2 linked regions of the Caenorhabditis elegans genome follow. The protein of the gene in region 1 interacts with the protein of each later gene in a pairwise test. Each region holds a gene or a part of one and is shown on either strand. Other genes may lie near its edges.

What was found.
Region 2: the proteins of W04B5.3 (region 1) and abu-14 interact in a two-hybrid assay, tested with the Caenorhabditis elegans proteins (one large-scale study listed by BioGRID).

The regions. Positions count from the first base shown.
Region 1 is NC_003281.10:2,416,608-2,424,663, forward strand, and holds W04B5.3 (Galectin), read left to right. Parts: upstream 1-1,940; 5' UTR 1,941-2,055; coding exon 2,056-2,076; intron 2,077-2,178; exon of another isoform or gene 2,179-2,199; intron 2,200-2,528; coding exon 2,529-2,696; intron 2,697-3,017; coding exon 3,018-3,134; intron 3,135-3,341; coding exon 3,342-3,407; intron 3,408-3,454; coding exon 3,455-3,512; intron 3,513-3,821; coding exon 3,822-3,985; intron 3,986-4,698; coding exon 4,699-4,935; intron 4,936-5,064; coding exon 5,065-5,136; intron 5,137-5,843; coding exon 5,844-5,993; coding exon of another isoform or gene 5,994-6,002; exon of another isoform or gene 6,003-6,346; coding exon 6,347-6,488; intron 6,489-7,119; coding exon 7,120-7,181; intron 7,182-7,228; coding exon 7,229-7,252; 3' UTR 7,253-7,305; downstream 7,306-8,056. Other genes in the region: W04B5.5 (non-specific serine/threonine protein kinase), read right to left, coding at 966-1,061, 1,124-1,259, 1,314-1,445, 1,504-1,584.
Region 2 is NC_003280.10:9,224,590-9,229,021, reverse strand, and holds abu-14 (Activated in Blocked Unfolded protein response), read left to right. Parts: upstream 1-1,807; 5' UTR 1,808-1,864; coding exon 1,865-1,954; intron 1,955-2,534; coding exon 2,535-3,332; intron 3,333-3,376; coding exon 3,377-3,610; 3' UTR 3,611-3,836; downstream 3,837-4,432. Other genes in the region: ZK1067.3 (uncharacterized protein), read right to left, coding at 3,933-3,983, 4,405-4,432.

The sequences.
Region 1 (8,056 bases):
CGAGTGACAAATGTGCTCTATTGTCAAATTGTTGGCAGAAATACGGTATTTATTCACATTTTCAGCCCAATTTAAGGTTGAAAATGTGAATAAATACCCGTTTTTACTGCAATCAATACGAGTAGAGGCACATAAGTCACGAAATTTTTAGAAATTAAGCTTTTTAGGGATTTTTTTTTTTGGAAATTTCGGAAATTTGATAAATTCGGCGAAAAATTAATTTTTCTCGAGAAATATTTGAAATTTGAGGAAAACCCTAAATTTTGGGAAAATTTATCACAAATTTCAGAAATTGAACTCGGAATCTATTTAATTTAATAGGAAATTCAAAAAATTCTCGGAAAAAACCGTGAGGAAATGGCTGAAAATCAACTTTTTGCAATTGGTGGCCTAGAAATTCAAAAAGTTCGGCCACCAAAATTTTTTTAGCTGAAAACATGCGAGTCGGGGTTAAAAATAGTGAAAAATCCGATTTTAGCACCGAAAATTGTCAAAAAATGCCAAAGTTTCTGGAATTTTCGGTCATTTTTCACGTTTTATCGATTTTTTTTGAAAATTTTAATGTGTTTCCCCTTTTAAAATCTCGAAATTTCAACAAAAACGCCCTAAATTCGACTGTGGCCTAGAAATTTCGAAAAGTTAGGCCACCATCTGTTTTTTCGGCTGAAAATGCTAAAATTTCCGCTGATGTAGTGAAATCTGCACAATTTTTGCCATTTTTTGGAGAAAAATTCGAGTTTTTTCGGAAAAAAATCCAGTAAATTCAGGAATTTTGCTTTTTTGTGTGGAAAATTCGAAAAACATCCATCATTTTCGATTAGTGGCCTAAAAATCGTAAAAGTTCGGCCACCTAGAGATTTTTTGTTGGAAAAAACGGTGTTTTGCAATAGAAAATGGGTTTATTCACAATTTTCCAGCGGTATTACCGGTTTTTTCCTATTTTCAGCGTAAAAATCGATATTTACCAAGTGCTGACAGCAAATTGGCCGCATAATATCGAGAATCTGCGACGTTGAACTTGGAATCCGGCTGTTTTTGCATTAAAGTGCAGAGATCTCCGTCTGAAATTGAAAGAATTGAAGTTTTCAGCTTTTTTTTCGAGATTTTTCAGCTAAAAACTCACATTTAGCATATTCTAGAACAAAATATAAGCTCTCCGAGTCTTGAAAAGTCGCGTATAACGTCACAATTCCGGGATGAGCGTTTTCTTCACGAGAAATCAACGCCAGCGCCTCTTTTTCACGATGAATATACGGAACCTGGAATATTCATCGATTTTATTCACATTTCCAATAAAAATCGGGTTTAAAAACCATTTTATTCTTCAAAATCAGCCTTTTCAGGCAGATTTTCAGCGCAACTTCCGGATTTTCGTCATTTTTGGGTTCTTTTCGACGTGCCAGGTAGACCGTGCTGAATGAGCCCTCGCCGACTTCTTTTTCTACCTGAAAATTGAAAAATAAAATTTAAAATTTGAGAAAACCGGTTGAAAAATACACTTACTGAATAATCCGCTAAACATTTCATATTTGAGCCTTCCCGGCGCGCATTTTGCGGATTTTTTAGATTTTCCGGCACCTCCATGACACGTAGAACCTGAATTTTTAGAAAATTATCGAAAAAAAATTGAGAAAACGAGAGAAAATCGATTTTTTAAGCTGGAAATTGATGAAAAAAGCTTAATGTCGTCAAATAAAATGCCCTGGTACGCAATTACACCGGAGCCTACGCGCAAATGCGGACTTGCTGCTTTTGGCGGTAGTTCAAATAGGATTTTCTCGAGAAAAACACTTTTTGATGAGAATATCCGATAAAGAAGCCATGATAAACACAAACTTTGAACTTTTTCTCGATGAACTATTGATTTTTCCGTATTATTTACACACGTGCACATCATCTTGTCAATATGAAGCCCCCGTGGCACTGTGTGAGGTTGACTCAATATTTGCTTAGCGATAAAAATACTGAAAAAGGTGCTGCGGCAACTGATAACGGACACTTTTCCGAAAAGTTATTCTCGAATATTCTAATTTTCTTGTGAAATACTACCTGACTATGCAGAACTTTGTTTTACCGGTAAGTTTCGCGAAATTTTTGAATTTTCGCCGCATGCAAGCGCGCTCCAATGTGAATATTTCAAAATTTTCAAATGAAATATTGAAAACAGTAAAAAATCAATAATTATGGCGAAAAAAAAACCAAAAATTCTGAAAAATCGTGAAAATGCGCTCCAATGCAACTATCGCAATTTTTCACGATATCGCAATACACGTGGTGCCAGTTGTCCCATTACGGTTTGATCTACAAAAAATGCGGGAACTTTTTGCCCAAAAAAAAATGTGACGTCAGCACGTTCTTAACCATGCAAAATCAGTTGAAAACTCTGCGTCTCTTCTCCCGCATTTTTCGGAGATCAAACCGAAAAAAGACATTCTGACACCACGTTGCAACACAAAAGCAGTAGAAATTGTTGTTGCAGTTGCAATTGCGCTCTGACGCAAATTTTCGACAAAGTCAATAATTTCCAGACAATGCCGTTCCGTCGGGACATTCCAGCCGGCTTTCCAGTCGGGACCACATTTAAATTGACCGGAAAACCCTACGAGGACATTCAGAAGAGCATTTTCGTGATTTTCAACACAAATAATGGAGATCAGGCTCTTCGCGTCGAGCTTGTGCTCGTTCAACCGTCTAAAGTGATTCAGAATTTTTATTTGGCTGATCGAGTAAAATTTTAGCGGGAAAAAAGACTATAAATCGATGATTTTCCGTCCGAAATTGGAAAAAAAATCTATAACTTTCAGAAAAATTGGAGAAAAATCAATAATTTTACCGAAATTGGAAAAAATCGATATATCACAGAAATTTTTTTTTCGAAAAATTCGATAAATTCTGAAAAAGCTGTCATAAAGTCGATGTCACCTCGAAAGTGATTTTAAAAAATCAATACTTTTCCAAAAAATCACTAAAAAATCGAAAATTCTCTAAAAATCAAAAATCAATATCGATTTTTCCAGCTAAAAATCGATTGCACCGTATCACAAAAAAAGTCAACCGCCGTCGAAACTCTTGTCGTCTGCCCGTTAAATCAACGGGCGGTGCTGAAAATCATCACCTCCCAGCACTCGTTCCAGGTGAGAATTATTGATTTTATTGATTTTATTGATTTTTCCGGGGGCGCGAAAAATCGATAATTTCAAAAAAAAACTTTTTTTCGAAACCCTTCCATGATTATACTTAATTGAAAGCTCGTTTTACGCTTAATCTGATAATAGTAAAACTATGGGTCTTAACACGAATATCGTCGTGTTACTGTAGCTCCAAACTTTCTTTTTTTCCAGATTTTGTTCAACGAATCCAAGGTTGCAGATTTTGTGCACCGCGTCGACCCCACACTAGTGAAATCGGTAATTTTAGCGAAAAATCGATAATTTTCATAGTTTTTGAAATTCAGGTACTTGTCAGCGGTCCAATGATCACCGAAGATGTCACTATTACCCCTGGAACATCCCGTAAGTAGTGATTTTCTGAGAAATCGAACAATTTTTAGGAGTTTTGAGTGCGAAATTCGAATTTCTCTTCAATTTTTACTACTGACAATGTATTTTCCGCTCAAAACTGGTTTTTCTGCATTTTGTCGTAAGATCTGGTGTGTGGTGGTGTTTGCGTACTTTCGAAGCTACAGTAACCCAAAATTTTTAGAATTTGAGCCACAAGCTCAGAAAAAAAGTGTCACGGGGTGAAATTACGCGAGGAATTCGAATTTTTTATTGATTTCACGAAAATTTCAAGTTTCCAACTACAAAACCAAAAATTTCCAGAACCCCTTCCATCCTACGAACAAGCAACATCTCCACCGGTAGAAATGATGGCTAATATGAATCTGGGAACTCCTCAAAAAGTCCCACTTCCGGATAACGAGCCATTCCCGCCAGCGCCAATGCCTCAGCCAGCCGCCCCGCCTACGCAGATCACTATGACTACGGTAGGTACAGTAATCCTTGGAATGGCAATTTATATATTTATCGCACTGTGGAAATTAAAACAAAAAGAAAAATGCAAAAAACATCGCAAAAAGTGATAAAAAATGGGGAAAGTTGGGTGAAAATAGACAAAAATACAAACTTTTCAACGTTAAACTGATGGCTTAGAAACCCAAAGCTAGGCCACTAGTTAATATTGATTTTTCTAACAAAGATAACATTTTTCCACACATTTTAAGCCAAAAATCAAAGAAAAATCTTTAAAATTGACAAAGTTATGGATTTTCGAAGATTTTCGAAAATCCAAAGCTTCGAAAAATTCAATTTTTGAATTTTTGAAAGATTTTTAGAATATATTTCAGGTTTTCCATACGATATTCAAGTTCACCGTGCCAAGACCTTCAATTTGACACCCATCATGACTATATTCCGATCATTTTGGGTCCCACCGCGAAAACTACAGTACCCCTGGGGATTTTCGTGGTGGGATTCAAAGTGAGCGGAACCTAGTCCTGATGGGTTGAATGTGAAATTTTAGGTTTTAGAAGAGTTTCGCTAAGAATTTGAAAAAAAAAATCAAAAAATTAAGATTTAAAAAAAATTTCGATGAATTTTCCTTCTTTTTCAACCAATTTTCCCCAGTTTTTTTTTTGCATTCCCCGTAGTTTTTCAAGCTCTATGATATGAAAATCATCCCAATCTGAAAAAATGTCAGGCTCCCGGCTCAACAGGCACCACCTCCTCCTCTTTCTACTTTACCGGCGGCTCGCAGGGATTCTCGAATCATCCGTACCCACTTCCGGGATTAATCGATAATTCGACACATGCATCACAGCAGAATCCCGTTGGAACATTACCACCACAAACTTCCATGCCAAGTGCACCGCCTATCACTCAGGCTCCGCCGACTCCGGCGGGAGCTGCGTACACCTCGCCATATACCAGCGTCCCTGTAGGTTTTTTGAAATTTTTGAGTGAAAATTTGAGTTTTTCGAGTTTTTCGCTGCTAGGAACTTTTTTTTCGTAGATTTTAGAAGCAGCAAATTCCAAATTTTAAACCCTGAAAAATTGAGATTTTCAGATGCCACAGCCTCCGTCTTCCGTTCCACTTTCGTATACACCTGCGCCAACTCCATCGGTACCATATACAGTGGTAAATGTTGAGAAAATGAGAAAACTTTGAGAATTTTTGAATTTGAAACAAAAACAATAATTTTTGAACTTTTTGAAAAAAAAATTTGGAAATTTTTTTTTTTTGAAAATTTTTTTCCATCAAAAAATTCTAAAAATTACCATTTTACGCTGAAACTCAAATTTTTTTGCCGAGCTCACAGAGAGCTTCAATTTGACACCCATATCGGCTATATTCCGATCATTTTGGGTACTGCCACGAAAACTACAGTACCCCTGGGGACTTTCGTGGCGGGACCCAAATTGAGCGGAACCTAGTCATGATGGGTTTCAAATTGAAGCTCTTGCTGTCCTAAATTCTAACTTGTATATATATTATGAAGCTTCTAGTAAAAAAAAACTTGAGAAATAATTTTCTTTAAAAACTTTTTTTTTTCGAAAGTTTTCGAAAATCCATAACTTTTTTAGTTTCTGAGAAATTTACTTGAATTTTTGAATATTATGTTCAAAAAATGCTGAAAACCCGCAGAAAAATATATTTAACCATTTTCATCTCGAGACTACAGTAGCCCAGGAGTTTTCGTGGCGGGACCCAAAATTTTGATTTTTTGTTCAAACCCCTATCTGCTTATACTTATTTGAAAGCTCTCCACGAGCAAAATTCAAATTTTTAGCTTAAAAGTCTATAACTGAGCTCCTAGAAAAAATTAAGGTTCATGAAATTTCCAGACCTACCCCCAATCGGCTAATTCAACTCCAGGAATTCCTCAGCCACTTCCCCAACAAATGTCACGTCAACAGGCTCCAATCTATCAAAATCAACAGCAAATGCCTCCGGGATACAATCCTTATCTCCAACAGCAACAGCAACAGATGGCAGTAATTTGAAAAAAATTTTAAAAAATTCGAAAAAAAAAATTTCAATTTTTTAAAAATGAAAATCAATAACTTTTTCGCTTAAAAACCTAAATATTTAACTCTAGCTCGTGGAGACCTTTAAAATGACACCCATATCGGCTAGGTTCCACCAACTTTGGGTCCCGCCACGAAAACTACAGTACCCCTTGGGACTTTCGCGGCGAGACCAAAAGTGAGCGAAACCTAGCCAATATGGGGGTGTCATTTTGAAGGTCTCGACGCGATAAACTCAAATTTCATAATTTCAAACACTTTTTCTTTAAAATTAAATAAAAAATTGGAAAAAGTAAAAAATTCCAAAAAAATTTTTTTAGGCCACCGTCCCAATGCCATATCCCTCAGGAGCAGCAGCAGTTCCAGTGTCTGCAATGGCACCACAAGTAGTACAGTACCCAACTACAGTAGTCCCATATTCGTATCCTGCCGTTCAACCGTATCCCATGTACCAACAGTATCGTGAGTTTTTTGTTGAAAAGAAAAATTCAAAATTCAACTTTTTTTTCAAAAACTTTTTATTCTGACTCTTTTTAATTCTAATATTCGTATTCAGCTCACCGAGAGCTTCAATTTGACACCCATCATGACTATATTCCGATCATTTTGGGTCCCGCCACGAAAACTACAGACCTCCTGGGGACTTTCGTGGCGGGACCAAACTTCTCTAAAATTGGCAAAATTTAAATATGATGATGTTTGGAGTAAGAGTTTGGCAAGTAAATTTTTGGAAAAATTTAGAAAAAAAAAACGATAATTTTTCGAGATTTTCGAAATTTTTCGAAAATCCGTAACTTTTTTAATTTTCAACATTTTCATGAGATTTTTGACATAAAAAATGCAGAAATTTTCAAACTCACCCGGAAAAATAAATTGCACCTACCAAACCTGCAAACTACAGTACCCCGAGACTTTTCGCGGTGGGACCCAAAATACTTTGCTACACGCGGAACATAGGCATGTTGGGTGTCAAATTAAAGCTCTCGGCGTACTAAAATCAAAAATTTGAATTTAGAAACTTTCCAGTTACTGTAGCAAAAGTGTAAGCTGTGTCAAAAATTCAATTTCCCGAAAAAAAAAAGAAATTTTTCAGCAATGGGCTATGGCTATCAACCAGAAGTCTACTATTACGACGGAGGACACCATCATCATAGGGTGAGAGAAAATCAATAAAAATCGAAAAAAAATCAATAATTTTTCAGCATCACCACCATCATTGCGACTAATTTCAAATTTGAATGATTATCGATTTTTTTAAAAAATAAAGCTATTTTCATAGAATTCGGAAATTAAAGGCTTGGACCCAAAATGTTCCAAAACTACCAAATTTCGTAATGAGACGTTCTGAACATTTTTCAAAAAACAGTTATGGCCGCTTAAAGTTTAGGAAAAAACTGTATATTTTTGGCTAAAATCTCAAATTTTGGCAACCGCTGAGACACTGAAAAGTTGAGATTTGAGCTAGAAATAGACCATTTTTCCAAACTTTGAGGGGCTTATTTTTTAACTTATTTTTGAGCCATTTTCAGACCGTCTCATAACGAAATTCGGTAGCCATAGATCATTTTGGGCCAAAGTATCAAAACTCCATCACTTTCTCGATGTAAACTGAGCCACCCACCCACAAGTCTGCTCCATTTCTGCGAATAGTGCAATTTATAACCATTCGTTATGACACTTTTAGGGCTATTTGCTAGGTACTGCTGTTGTTGTAGGTAGGTATGGTAGGCGTATTCATCTCCCGGGGGAGTGACGGGTGTTCTCCGACGGATCTCCTATCATTTTACATTTATCCTGGGCGACTGGTGGTTGCCTTTTGTTTTTTCTCTAGTCATTTTTTGCTGGTTCTGTGGATTCCTTTACGGTGAGTTTTTAAAAAAAGTATTTCGAATTTAAAGTTATTCTTGACATTTTCTAGAGACCACAATTCAATTGGTACTTGTGTATTATACCGTGTGTATTAATTGTATAGTTTTGCCGATCTGATTTTCAGTTATTCGACGTTTGGTTTTTTAAACTAGGTTCACTCA
Region 2 (4,432 bases), on another chromosome or scaffold:
TAATAATATCAAATTGACATGATTTATGAGTAGGGAAGTTGATATCATAATTGGTTCAAGTATATCTACTACTACTGACAACTTCGACGAGCCCTGAAACATAAACAGGAAAAATTGGTACTAGATTGTGTAACATACAATTGATGCGTACCTCTTCGAAAATATTTTACCGTAGTCTGAATTTGTACGTGATAAGCTCTCGTCAAAAACAAGAAACTACATACATTGCTGCTCACAACGAAATGCGTTCAATTGAAATTTCTATTTGCCAACCGGGAGCCTCCAGACGGTTAAAACTGTCAAATGATGTGATTCCGTATGACTCATCAATGTCTGACCCAGAAATCCGGTCCTCTCGGAGTTTCTAGTTGTTTTCCACGTGTTCCACGTCACAATTGAATTCACATGGCAACCAGCTGCATTGCATTGGTAAAGTGACCATTAAATTCAATACGAAAAGTAAGCAAATACTTCAATTGTGTGAGTTTTAGTTGACCAACTTTTCATCAGGTTCATGAAGAATGTGAATGAAAAATGTTTTTATTCACTGTGAAGTAGGGGAGATCAAGAGATAAAGAACAGGCTAGATTTGGAGATACGAAAAGCGACAAACATGTGTTTTTATGTAAGCAGTCTTCTCCGAGCATCTTTTTATAGATGTTCGAAATACTTGAAGCGAAAAATTGCGCAACTTGAACTAAACAAGATAATCAGTGCGGTTGCTGCTATTTATGGATGATGATTGCTCGCGAGAGGGGGTCAGCAGGGACGACATTCCTACAAAGGGCATAAGGAGAATGAAAAAGTATGCGGGTAGAAGAAGAGAGCAAATGAGCATTGAGAGCATACTGTATTTAGTGATAAGCAGAGATTTTTGATATCTAAGCTAAGAGTGTCCGGAACATTTGGAAACTAGAAGCATTGGTCATGGAATTTTATTTAGAAAAATTGAAAAAGGAAGTCACACACATAATAAATTATGTGCATCTAAAACGTTAAAAAATCCAAGTATTGTACCGATTTTAATATTTCCAGGTACTGAAAGATTTTGAAAAATAAACAATTTTAGCAGCGTTTTTTGAATTGTCTTTGCTTTACATTGAAAGCTTATATCTCGGTTCTCTTTGGTTTTATCAAAAAATTGTCAACAAACCAAATGCGTGTAAAATGTTTATCTATATATCAATAGTAGAACATTTTTTGATATAACTCATGACAGTCGAGATATGAGTCGTCAAATTAGAGCAGTCGTGGTAAAAACTTTTAAAATCACAAATCAAGAAAGATAATTAAATTATTTTTCGCTGTGTGACCATTTTTATTTCAGCATGCGCTTCAAAAAACTACCAAGTTGCGTTATCATATTCTTTGGTTTACTCCGAAAATTTACTGGTAGCTATATAATTTACCAAAGCTGAACAAATAATCCACTCATTTGGTGAATAGTTCTAAAGTATACAAGCTTCAAGTCATACAGGTTATTTCAAAACTACAGTACCCTTCAAGGCTTTGAGGACCTCCGGTTTCCGAGTATGAATTATGAAATGTTTTTCGTCTAGTCCTCATTGTCTCAATCACTATCTCCAGGCAAAAAGATGAGATCTCTTGAGGGTACTGGACTCTCCCTCAATCCTCCGATTCAAGGAGTTGTTTCGAACGCTTAAGCACTCCTGGCTCCGCGCGGGGCGGAGTCGAAGTGTGCCGCGACCGACCGACCGCCGGCGCCTTCCTCCCCATTACCCCCACCCATCTCCCGCCGCTATATAAAAGGTACGCAGTGCCATCTGGACAGAATACAGAGCCTTCGAGTTCTAGTCCTTCTCCTTCTTTTACCCAACTCATTATTCCCCACATTTTTGTTTCAATGGCAGCCCGCAGAGCAGCTTCGATTCTTCTTATCGCCGTTCTGGCCCTCTCCAGTACCTTCGTCTTCGCTGACGAAGAGACTGTCAAGGTAAATTTCTTTTTTAAATACTACTTTTGTACTTTTGAACATTTATTTAAGCATTCAGTCATACTTTCCCTCTTTTATGCTCACTATTATTTTCGTGTTTTCTGTGTACCTAACCATTAGGACACGGCGCGGATGTGGGTATTGAATGCACAATGTGCATGAATAGGAATAATGAATAGGCTTTAGGAACAAGCTGGTTATGATCATGATCTTATTGATCATGCCCAATTGAAGCATAGCGTCTAGTACATCAGGATCCAAATTTCAGCAATCATTTGTTTAAATAACTTTTCAATTTTAACTATGATGCTTCCTTATGACTGTCTAGACTCTTATTTCATTTATTCCCGTCATTGGCCATTCCTTGAGACCTCACTAATACAAAGTGAAGTGGTCATTTCAAGGGGTCAGCTGGCTTCTTCTCCTGCTCTTTCCCCTCCGATAAAAACAGGAAAAATGATAGTGTAAACAAAGGGCGCATGAAGATTCTCTCCGCGATTGCCCCCCAGAGTGTGCGCGCAAAAATCTAAGCACACTGTCTTTCCTTACGGTCAAACAAAAGAGCCCTAAATAACTGCAGAACGAGACCGGATTGGCGTTGTCGCGTGCCAAGAGACAGTGCTGTTCATCCAACTCCAACTCATGCTGCGGAAACAACAACAACGTGCAATGCATCCCAGTTTGTCTGCAACAGTGCCAGAGCTCATGCCAAACATCCCAATGCATCCAACAATGTCAGCCAGCTTGTAACCAACAGTGCGGAGGAAACAACCAAGTCATCCTTCTTCCACAAACCAACAACTGCAACCAATGCCAACAACAATGCATCAGCTCCTGTGCCACCCCAATCTGTGCTCAATCCTGCAACAACCAATGCTCCAGCTCTTGCGGAAACTCTGCTCCACAAATTGTCGTTCTCCAACCACAACAGAACCAATGTGGATCATGCCAGTCTTCCTGCCAACAGACTTGCCCAACATGCAACTGCCAATCTGCTTGTGCTCCAGCCTGTGGAGGAAACAACAACAATCAGCAAATCATCGTTGTTCAACAGGACAACTCATGCTCATCCAACTGTAACAACCAGTGCTCCAGCTCCTGCAGCACCCCAATCTGCATTCAGTCCTGCCAATCCTCCTGCCAACAGGCCTGCCAGCCAACCTGCCAGCCACAATGCATGCCATCCTGCTCGTCTAGCTGCACATCCAACCAGGCTCCAATCGTCATCGTCGCTCAACAAGGAGACTCATGCTCCAACTCGTGCTCCAACCAGTGCCAGTCTGCCTGCCCAACTCCAATCTGTGTCCAACAGTGCAACTCTCAATGTCAATCCCAGTGCTCGAACTCTTGCTCCGGAAACAGCTGCAACCAACAACAGGTAATAATATTGATTTTCCATTAATTCATGAATCAATATTACAGGTCATTGTCCTCCAACAACAAGACAACTGCCAGAATCAATGTCAATCTTCCTGCATGAACACTTGCCAATCATCGGCTACCGTTCTTCAATGCCAGCCAATTTGCCAACAAACCTGCCAGAATACCTGTCAACAAGCCGCTCAAATCGTTGTTCCATGCCAATCGAGCTCTTCTGGATGTGGATGCTCATCTGGATATTCTCAATGCGGTGGATCATGCTGCCGTCGTCGTTAAGCATCCCCTTCCCTGAATTCTATGAACGAATTCTTACCGTATCCGCGTTTTCTATGCGACAACTTCTGTTTTCGTTTCCCCATCCCACTTCTCACATAACTTTTATTATGACATTGTCTGTAAATAAGTGGTAGCCATGTGAGGTGTCTAATTATTTTATTATTGTTCCCTTCTTTTTCATGATGTTTCATTGTCCTTGAGTTTCGACAATAAATTATTCTAATTTAAGAATTATACAAGAAATGTTTTCATTCGGCAAAACATAAAATAAAAAATCACATATATTCACAGTAATCAATCATCATATAATAAATTGTATTGTTTAGTCCTGTTTGAATAGTCCTCGAGCTGAGCGACGAAGGGTTGAGCGACGCTGAAAAAAAAATTTAAAAAGAAGAAAAACAAATGTATCCAAATTAACAGTTTTTCTAAATTTATTATTGATTTTATTCCGAATTTTGCAAATATAAACGAAGTTACTGAAACAAATTCGAATTTTCGACAGAAGTTTCAAAATTTTCGCGTTTTTTATTCATTGGTTTCTCTTGATTTTTTCCTTGATCTTTTTTAATTGTCACCCAAAAAAAAGTCGTCGAAATTTCAAAATTAGCCTAGAAATGAGTAATGTAGCATTAGTTTCAACTCTTTTTTTTCGGAAAACTTTCTGAAAAAATGACAAAGTATCGAATCAAACACTAAAGAATTTTTCAATTAATGAATGAAAATTCCATAATTCGATAGAAAATTAAAAATTTTGAAAAAAGAGCACATGCTTGTTATAAAAATGCACATACCCTTACAGCACCAGCTTTCATCATTGAG